Linked DNA regions of Caenorhabditis elegans. The protein of the gene in region 1 purifies or fractionates together with the protein of each later gene. This does not show direct contact. Each region holds a gene or a part of one and is shown on either strand. Other genes may lie near its edges.

Evidence for each region. Proteins that work in one complex are often made in the same cells at the same time.
Region 2: the proteins of T28D9.1 (region 1) and F42A10.5 fractionate together in Caenorhabditis elegans (co-fractionation; one large-scale study listed by BioGRID). This does not show direct contact.

Annotation. Positions count from the first base shown.
Region 1 is NC_003280.10:6,490,275-6,495,113, reverse strand, and holds T28D9.1 (uncharacterized protein), read right to left. Parts: upstream 2,713-4,839; 5' UTR 2,709-2,712; coding exon 2,587-2,708; intron 2,330-2,586; exon of another isoform or gene 2,197-2,329; coding exon 2,073-2,196; exon of another isoform or gene 2,025-2,072; coding exon 1,929-2,024; exon of another isoform or gene 1,724-1,928; coding exon 1,676-1,723; 3' UTR 1,336-1,675; downstream 1-1,335. Other genes in the region: twk-49 (Potassium channel domain-containing protein), read left to right, coding at 1-43, 97-189, 747-848, 895-1,078, 1,136-1,251; T28D9.11 (uncharacterized protein), read left to right, coding at 3,121-3,306; rsp-5 (putative splicing factor, arginine/serine-rich 5), read right to left, coding at 3,896-4,003, 4,049-4,127, 4,455-4,706, 4,758-4,839.
Region 2 is NC_003281.10:6,169,695-6,174,809, forward strand, and holds F42A10.5 (Protein CDV3 homolog), read right to left. Parts: upstream 3,107-5,115; 5' UTR 3,078-3,106; coding exon 2,854-3,077; intron 2,804-2,853; coding exon 2,341-2,803; intron 2,240-2,340; coding exon 2,108-2,239; 3' UTR 1,528-2,107; downstream 1-1,527. Other genes in the region: F42A10.9 (Gamma-glutamylcyclotransferase family protein), read left to right, coding at 959-1,098, 1,389-1,431; abcf-3 (ABC transporter domain-containing protein), read left to right, coding at 3,932-4,750, 4,890-5,115.

The DNA of each region.
Region 1 (4,839 bases):
GATCGGTGGTGGATTCAAAGTTCCAGCTACTGTTGGTTCCCAGGTAATTTCCTGCAATATATTCTACCTCAATTCAATTTGTGTTTTTGTTTCTAGATATTTGCTGTATTCTATTGTCTAATTGGTATTCCATTGTTCTACAGTACTCTGATACTCATCGTCTGTCGATTGGTATCTCCAGTTTTAAAGGTTAGTGGAAGAAGGTTATATTTTTGTTGTGAAATAATATTTCAATGACATCACGAAAAAGCTTAGGCATACATAAGTATTTATTAAACAGGACCATGACTTACTTTATTTGTTCGGAATGTTTTTGAAACCAGGAAGACTTCTGAAAATTTTTTATTGTTCGAGATTGTTAGAATTTCATAGATCCCAACTGTACATGTGAAATCACACGGTACCCGGTCTCGAAACGACGATTTTTTGTAGAATGCGAACAGGTGCGCGCCTTTAAGGTTAATAAAAAATTGCATTGATGAAAAAAATCTATTGGAACATTAACATATAAATTTTAACACATCGTGAGAAAGACTAGGAAAAATCTACGATATAATTCCACAGCAACAAGAGTTTGCAACTACAGTACTCTTTAAAGGCGCACGCCTTTTCGCATTTACCAAATATTTGTCATGTCGAGACCAGGCACAGTATTTTTCCACAAAAAGTCGTATAGATAATACGTTTTCATTAATAATTTTATAAAGATGATTACATTTTTAATTTTAAAAAGAATAAGGTTTCAGTGGCCATCACTAACTCGTTCGCGTCGTTTCCTGCTCATTCTTGCGGCCTTTGGTCTCTTTATTCTCTGGGCAATCCTCATTGGCCTTTGTCTCTATTATCAGGTATCTTCATCATATCTGAGTCTCTTTGAATCTTATTGTTTTTAAGGTGATCAATGACTTCTGGCTTAGCATTTTACATGCTTTCACTGGATCTCTTACTGTCCAAATTCCAAGCCCCGCACAAATTACAACTTGCGGAATCCTGTTCTTGAACTTTGCTGCTACCATTTCGGTTTCTCTTCTTATCCTCATTCTACTTGTCTCGTTTTCCGTTTTCTTCCCAAAAGAAAGTGAGTTCAATTAAACCATTAGTAATTTAAATATCCCCAAAATATATTTTTCTTCAGTGCTAATTCAAGAAGTTGACAATGGAGTCGAGGAGAAGCTGGAGCGCCTCACACCACCACCAAAGTTCCAGGTCATCGTAGATGAAGCTGGAGAAAGCAAGCTTACCTCTGCCTAATATCTTAACTTTTGATAATTTATTTCGTGCTTATTGCTTCTAGATTTTCAATTTCAAAACACTTGTTTCTTTAATGCTTATGCAACGATTCTGCCACTTTAACTTTATTGCAGTGAGAGGTTGGATAAAACAATGTTAAAACTAACAAATACCTGGAGAGGGGAATCCGAATTAACTTAAACGGAACGATAGGAAAACCCCAACACCAGGGAGATGATGAGATTCTTTTTTTGATGAGGGAATTATCCAATATTAAGAAAAATCAAGATGGGATCAGCTTAGAGACAAAATAGAATTGTCGAAACATCGGACAAGTACATTTTTAATGGATTTGGTCAACATGTACAGATTGATGATAAAGATGTTGATTTTGAAACGGGGAATTTGAGGAAGGATGAAGTGGCATTTGTTGTTGGGAAGCAACCTATTCGGCGGCGACAGCTGGGGCATCTCCAGAGGCTGCGACGTCAACCTGCAAGGGAAATCGAATTATTGACAATGACATTGAATATTAGTCCCTAACGGAAGATGAAGCGATTCATAAAGAATTCATCAGAACTGCTCGTGTACATCGCACACATTACGCCCCGATATATCCCATAATTAGTGCTAAGTCGCATACGCCTATCCTATATCTTTTTAGAATGCCTAATTAGATTCCTGCCCTTCGTTCTCACCTCATCCTCAACCTTGCTTTTCTTGGTCAATGGAGCATCCTCCTCTGCGTCGGCGACTGGAGCCTCTTCGTGGGCGCTGGACACACGCTTACGATCCTGCAAAAATAAAAATTGGTCAACAAAAATAATATATAACTATCTTACGTTGCCGTTGGTGTCCTTTGCTTCTCCGTTCTCGACTGCCTTATCCTTATCGGCCTCTTCAGCCTCAGTCTCATTCTTCTCCTCGGTGGCCTCAGCTTGAGTCTCCTCTGTCTTTTCACCGTTCCTACAAAAATAGTATAAATTGTAGAGAAACGGATTAGTGCAATCTGTTGCCTGCTCACTACCCTACGCCGTATTTGTTTTCACCATTGCCGCCTGTCTTCTTTATGGCACCATGCCTTCTGCACACTGCACCAATACACATACTATGAACAAATAAAAGGGCATAGAAAGAAATATGAATGACCCCTCAGTTTTTCACAGAACAGTTTCTACCATTATGACCGTCCCACATTATTCACGTCTTACGAGTGACCTCGAAGGAAAACACCACTCAACGCCCGCGCGCAGATGGATACAAAAAAGTGGCTCGCGATTTCCATAGAATTGACCTATATACTACAGTTTTAGAAAAATGCACAGGTAAATCGCAAATTATGAAACAAAAACTCACTGCTCACTGGTCTTCTCATCAATCACAACGACATCGTCCGATCCAGTCTCGGTTGGCTTCTCCTCGACTGGTTCGACAACCTCTGGCTCTTGAGCGACAACAGTCTCGGCAACGTCGGACATTTTTCTGTAAAACAAATGTTAATGTAGTGCTGGTGAATAAATCTGAATGAGAAATAGAAGAAACATTTGAAAATATCATTGAGTTTTGAGAAAAAAATATCGAGTTATTGTATTAAAAATCTGCTACTGAGGAAAAAATTTTTTTTTAATTTAGATGTGTTGTCGTTTCAAAAACACAAACGATGTTCTAGAAAACTTTTTCCTAGGAAGAGCGCGAACAACTCTATCGCGGAAAGAGACATCTTATTATTTGGCTCTCGCGCCTCACAGGGCCCGGCGCTGCGCGCCCGTCCACCGTCGGCCTAGTCTGTGCCTGACACTCACGCAACGCTCACTGGACAGCTAGAGGCGGCCGGCTGGTCGAAGGAAGCGGTGTCCTACTCACACTCCTCAACAGCGGACGAAACGAAGAATGAGGAGGGGAGGAGAGCCTCAATGCGATGGCCGCGAGTTTCGAATTGCCTCGTCGCCGGCAAGAGAACGAGAGGACGACAACGAAACGGCCCCGCCCCAAACGTCGGCTGCGCAAGAGCCTCTCGTCGACTGCTTTCTTGGCACTGTGCCAAATTCATGCTTCGTGCGGTGTGAATTAATCTAAACAGTAATTATCAAAACGCGAGATTTAGTAAACATTAACTGTACAAAACTAACGAAAAGGGGCAAATACACACACACCGACAAATGTTCGACGAGATTTTTCAAGGAAACATCACTCGCAGGCTTTCAAAATTCGCCTTTTTTTCGGTTTTTGTCCTAGTTTGCAACTCTTTTCAATTTAGAGAATAGAAAACGATAAGCTTTTTGTTTAGAAAACTCGAAAATTTGCGTTCTATTTCAATATATGAGTATAAAAATTAGCTCGAAAATCTCGTAAAAGGTTTTTTCTAATAATAATGACTATAAAAAGTACAACGGCAATTTCCAGAACAGTAAAAATAACAAAGCAGTAAATTAGCCCAAAATTGCGTTCGACCTTCAAATTCCCCAATATTGTACAGTAGTTGAAGTAATCGTGGTGAGACCTGTGTGAATAATACCATGTGCCTTTAAATATTTTTAAAAAATGAAGGAAGTCTCCGCTCGGTTTTATTCGGGAATTATTAAAATCAGAACAGCTCTGAGGATGAACAAATATTATAAAATAGAAGTGGTAAATGAACAACAGTAAACGGTATAAAAACACAATTTTAATCCTTTGGAGATCCTGGAGACGGAGAGCGAGACACACTGCGATTGCTGCCATCTCGGCTGTGACTTCTTCCACGGCTCACGCTGCGCTTTCTATCTCCGCCGTTCTGAAACCATATGATTTTTACTATACAAGCACATAAATGAATTACCTTTGGGGGAGATCCACTTCGGGTTCTGCTTCGATCTTTTGCTGGCAGTGGTGAACGAGATCTCGACGCTTCACGCTTCCTAAAATATAATTCTTGCATTTAATAGAGTCGGAATCTAAAGGACTCGAATACGAAACCGATATGTTTGCGCGAAGTTGTCTGATTCAAAGTTAGGGATCTCACTCTTTTAATCGAAACAGCGGCTTTTGGTAACTGTGGGGACTGAACGAGAAGTGAATTGAAATGTATTGATAGTTGACCCATACTGTGCTCGAACTGTCTCAGCTATGTGTATGCCATTGCGATGTGGGCTTGTAGGTGATATTGATTTCTCATTGAACTGTGGCTAAAACGGTTCGTGATGTGGCACCCTTCCAAAACAATCCACACATTAAAGTTAACTTACAAGTCTCTTTTCGGGCTCGGCGAACGGGATTCGCTTCTGCGACGACTTTCACGAACTGGTGATCTGGATCTGGAGGAGCTTCTGGAACGGGATCTGCGAGAACGTTTGCGATCACGAGAGCGGGAACGTCTTCTTGGTGGAGTACGTGAACGACGTCTAGGAGAGCGGGAACGTCGTCGTGGTGATCTCGATCCATGACGGTCATTGCCGCGTGGTTTTCCGCGAGCCATTTCCACGACAAGGCGCATAGAGCTGAAAATAAAAAGTTAGAACATTTTTAATTTTGGTTTATTATTTTATTACCTTCCTTCCATGGTTTTTCCATCCAAATCATGGCATGCGTCTTCAGCATCACGAGAATCTTCAAAATCGACAAAGGCAAATC
Region 2 (5,115 bases), on another chromosome or scaffold:
CGATATCGGGCCCGATAGGAATAAATAGAGAAAGAAAAAAGCTCATAAATTATAATGGGTAATATTTTTTGAAGGAACATTCGAGAAACGTCGAGGAAAATTTTCAAGATCAAAGATTAAAAAATCAAAAGAACAAAAAATCGAAAATTACTTTCAATTTTAAGTTTTTCAGTTTTGCACGTTTTTGTACTTACAGTTAGACATTAAAGATAAAAATGATTTTTTGTGATTTGATAAAAAGGGCAGATGGTGAATAATATATCAATGAGAAACCAATCCTATTATTTTTAATGAACATAATAAATCATCTGGTTGAGTAGATTCTTGGAATATAAAAATGAAATATTCTGATTTCCTTGAAACTTCAATCTGACCGAGCCGAATGTAATAGGTCAAATGTGACCAATATCTCTCAGACATTTATCACTAGCACTTTAAAATAGAAACAGGAATCAGTAGACTCTCTGAAGTTGAAAAAAGACCGACGGAAAAACTGGGAGAAAACTACGTGAAGAAATGGAAAATCGAGAAAGGCCTAGAGGCACCCAGAAGAATGGAGAAAGGAGAAGAAGGAGAGACAATGATGAAGAATGAGAGATTTAGAGAAACAGACAGAGTGTAAACCGAAAAGAGATGGGTGTGCACATTTGACTTGGATGGATGAATGGTTGGGACCACTTGGTGTTTTTTTTGGCTGAAAAATATAGAGGAAGTTAAAATAAAGTGTATATGAAGGAACCTATAATTATTGATTTAGGATATTTATGGAATAGATAATATGAATGAGCTCATTCAGACAGCGCGGGTTACTGTAGAAAGTAGACACGAAATTTTCAAAAAAAAATGTAAACGTCTTCGACCGTTTGTTTTATTTTTCATTGTTGAATCATAACAATACCAACTTACAAAACATATCTGAAAATGGGGAATTTCTCATTCAAAAACATGAAAATTTCAGATCAAACTTCCGTCTGGCACTACTGAGACTGCGTTTATCTATCTGCTGAAAAGCTGGCGCCCAGATCTACTTTCCACGTCATCCGAAATGATGACCAACTACTCAAGCCTCGGAGCTCATGGTAGACCTTATGTGGACAGGTAAGAGAAAAATGTGCCTTTTAAAACTAGAGTTAAATTAAATATTTCTTTGAAAAACAAATTCCAGTGATTTATTGAAAAATTACGCGCACGACTGGAATTTTCAGATACGTGCGCGCAAAAGAGATGCTTGACGATCTCGACGGCAGTTCGAACCTCTATCATGATATTTTGGGCGCTGAGAACCTGATCTACATCGAGTTGGCTCAGAGAAAAGCCGAGTTCGATTTGAAAAGTGGGGAAATTTACAAATAACTATTCAATGAACCTACATTTAATTTTTTTTGCAGCGAGAACCTAACCAACGAGAATGAAATGTACGAAGCAATGTGATCACCGAGTAACAGTTCCTCATCGTTATAATTTGAATAAATGAATAATAATCTGGGATTGAAAACACACATGCAAGATAACAAAGACGAGCACATTGGGAATGTATAAACGTTTATATGAAAAAGAAAAAAGGGAAACGAAAGAAAAAGACACCATGATTGAATCCGAAAGGGAATTGGGCAAAGAGAATATGATAGAGCACTTGTATAAATAGCACAAGTAGAAAAAGAGCAAAGTGCTCATGGGGAAAACATTTTGAAACTTTCTTTCGTTGAAACCGTAACCGACGACACGCGAAACAGGCGGATTTGAGATTTTTGGCGTGACACCGAAAATAGGAGACGACCTTCGAAATGCATAAGATTTCGAAAAAAGATACCAAAATTCGATTCACGTGAATTCTCAAACCACACCGTCCGCTGTCAACTACCCTATAAATTTCACGGGGTATTGTGGGTCGTTCAAGAATTGGTAGAGCAACAATAAAGAGTGAAGTGCGTTTAAGCACGAAATGATAAGAGAAATTTGGGACATAACAAGTTGATAGGGACGAAATTAATAATGTACTAAATTATGAGAATACTAACCAAAAAAAGGATATTATAGAATAAAGAAAAACAATGAATAAGGAAATGGGAACACAGAAAACAGAAGAATAAGAAAATAGTTGGGCCTATTATTGATTTTTCCTCAAATGTGGAGGAACGTACGATCCAGCCTTGGCAGCTCCCGAAGATGCTGGAGCAGCAGCTGCAGGGGCTGGTGCTGGCTCGTTACGCGCTGGAGCTGGATTGGCGGCGCTCATCATCTGAAACGTTGAATTTAGACATTTTCAAGAATAATAAAAATGATTTTTGATAGTTTTAAAACCTTGAAAACTTAGAGTAATTATTTTTCCTTGACACATACCTTGAGAGCTGCAAGAGCACTATCACGTCCACTTCCAGCAGTTGTCGGATACGATCTTGAAGACCCACTTGAAGATGGGCCCGAACTTCCTGGCCAAGCTCCACCGGATCCAGCTTTTACCCAACCTCCTGGTGATTTGCTCTCCTCTTTCTTATTCTTCTCAATTTTGCTTGCATCCGCTAATGATGGGAAGGCAGCGTCACTACCCATATCCAGATTTGCAGCAGCAGCTCTTGGTCTGTACGGAGCTCCTGGTCTTCTCATTGCAGGTGGCTTGTAAGCGGCAGCCATTGCTTTGTCACTGATCGTCACAGCTTGTTCCGGCTCCTCCGTCGCTTTCTTTTCACTGCTAACTTGTCCCCAAGTCTTTGTCTCATGAACCTCGCGATCTTCTGGTTCTTCGTTATTTACTTGATCTTGTTCACTTTCAAGACCCATATCTTTGATTTTCAGACCATCTAGTCTGCAATAAATGAGATATTTAAATGAAATCGGAGCGAATAATCTACTAACCTTCCTTGACTTTCTCCGTATTCAATCCATTCACTTTCTTCGTTAGGATTCACGGCCTTCTCCTCTTCTACCCGCTTTTCAGAAACATCCTCCGACTCTTGCTCATACTCCTCTTGACGCTTGGCTCTTCGTTCGAGTGCTTGACCGACTTCTTCGATTTTAACGGCGGACTTCTTTTTCTTGTCTTTCTTTTTAGCAAAGAAAGCGCTCAAATCGTCACTCATTTTGTGTTGTTGTGAAAAGCGAGTCGGAACTGAAACGTGGAACATTTAGAGAGTAAAATTATTTTGAACGGCCTAAAATGAAACGACAATAGCACAGTTTTCTAATATAGTGAAGTTCAAATAACGAATATGACATGTAAAGTTACTGTGCACAAAGAACAAATGATAGGAAGTGGCAAACTAGCTGGAATTTACTGAAAATGAGAAGAAAACGCGACGCAACACGTCACGCGCGTATCAGAGATTCATTGCAGTTATTTGGCAGAAGGCTGTCTTGACAATAATGAATTTGCTAATTGGAATAGTTTAGGCTTTTGGAGCTTCTAAATATAACTAACAAAAAATGAACAAAACGTGTAAGTTGAAGAGAAATCCAGCTAAAAATTCAGTTTCGCAACAAAAAAAAGTTAGAGACTGCAAACGCGCCAGGACGATTACTGGCGTGTATGGCGATTTTGTTGACGCATATCTCGTTTTATTCAGTTTTCTCTCACATTTACAGTATTTTCGGATGAATAAATTGCTTTTGGTCGAGTTTATAGCAGTTTACATGTATTTATTAAATTAATATTTTAGTCATTTGGATAATGATACAGTTTCCACCACCCAATAAATAAAACCTTACTTTTTTAGGACTCGTAGTGTATGCTAGAGGAATCTCACTTGGTGGACGAGCTAACAGCTTCTTTCATCTCCGATCAAACGTATTATCTTCTTCTGATTCCAAGTCTCATTCCGGTTTTCATCGTCTTTCACTTTTTCAATTGGCTGGGTATGATACGAGAAACGCAACTTATTTACGAGTGTGTTATGAATTTTTTCCAGGTTACGAGTTCTTCTTGAACAATTAAATAATGGCAAATGTTGAAGCAATTCCTGGCTATCTCACGGCCACTTTTCCCACACTTCCAATTGAGATCAAAGACTATGTCTCTGCAATTCTCAAAGAGAATTCCGATGAGATCACATCTTTAGATGAAGTTATGGATGCCGTTGGTGAACATCTTCAAGCTTCCGTGGAAAATCTTTGCGAGGTTGGAGCTAAGAATGCTTGTCAACAACTTCTGAAACTACTTCACGGAGACAACCTTCCAAAGGCTATCAAACAACAGGAAGCAACTACGAAACGTCTCGAGCAAACTGTTGACATGGCTGCTGAAAATCAAAACTTTGAAGCTCTTCAAAGCATCTGGAAAGTACAAACAAGAGATACTCCAACTACCGTTGATAAGAAGAAACTTGCTAAGGCCGAAGATCGTGCTGCAGCGAAAGCAGAAGCTCGTGCAGATGCACCTGTTGAACGGAAGAAGAAGAAGAATGAGCCATCAGCAACGGCTTCCCAAGCTCCAATTCGTGACTCGGGTGCCCGTGGAGCCAACTCAAAGGATATCAAACTGGAAAGTGTGGATATTTCTATCGGTACGAAACAACTTCTCTCATGTGCCGATGTCACAATGGCATTTGGAAGACGATATGGATTGGTTGGAAGAAACGGAATCGGAAAAACGACGCTGCTTAAAATGATTTCAAGCCAACAGTTGAAGATCCCCGCAGGTATTTCAATGCTGTCTGTGGAACAGGAAGTGGAAGGAGATGATACACTCGTTTTGGATGCTGTTTTGATGTCAGATACGAAGAGACAAACACTTCTTGATAGGGAAAAGACGCTGCAAGTGAGATATTCAGAAAATGATATTAATATTCAATGAGAATAATATGACAAAAAAGTCTGATTTGAATTCATTCCATTCTTGAAATATATATTTTTAATTTGAACAAAAATTAATTCATTTTTCAAAATTAAAATTTCAGAGTCGTATAAACAAGGACAATATCAATGACGCCGAGAAAACCAAATGGAATGACGAGCTTTCAAAACTTTACATCGAAATGGAAGCTCTCCAACTTGACAAAGCTCCAGCACGGGCTTCTTCCCTTCTTTATGGTCTCGGTTTCACTCCAGACGAGCAGAAGCGTCCAACAAAGGAGTTCTCTGGAGGATGGCGTATGAGAGTTGCCCTTGCCAGAGCTCTATTCG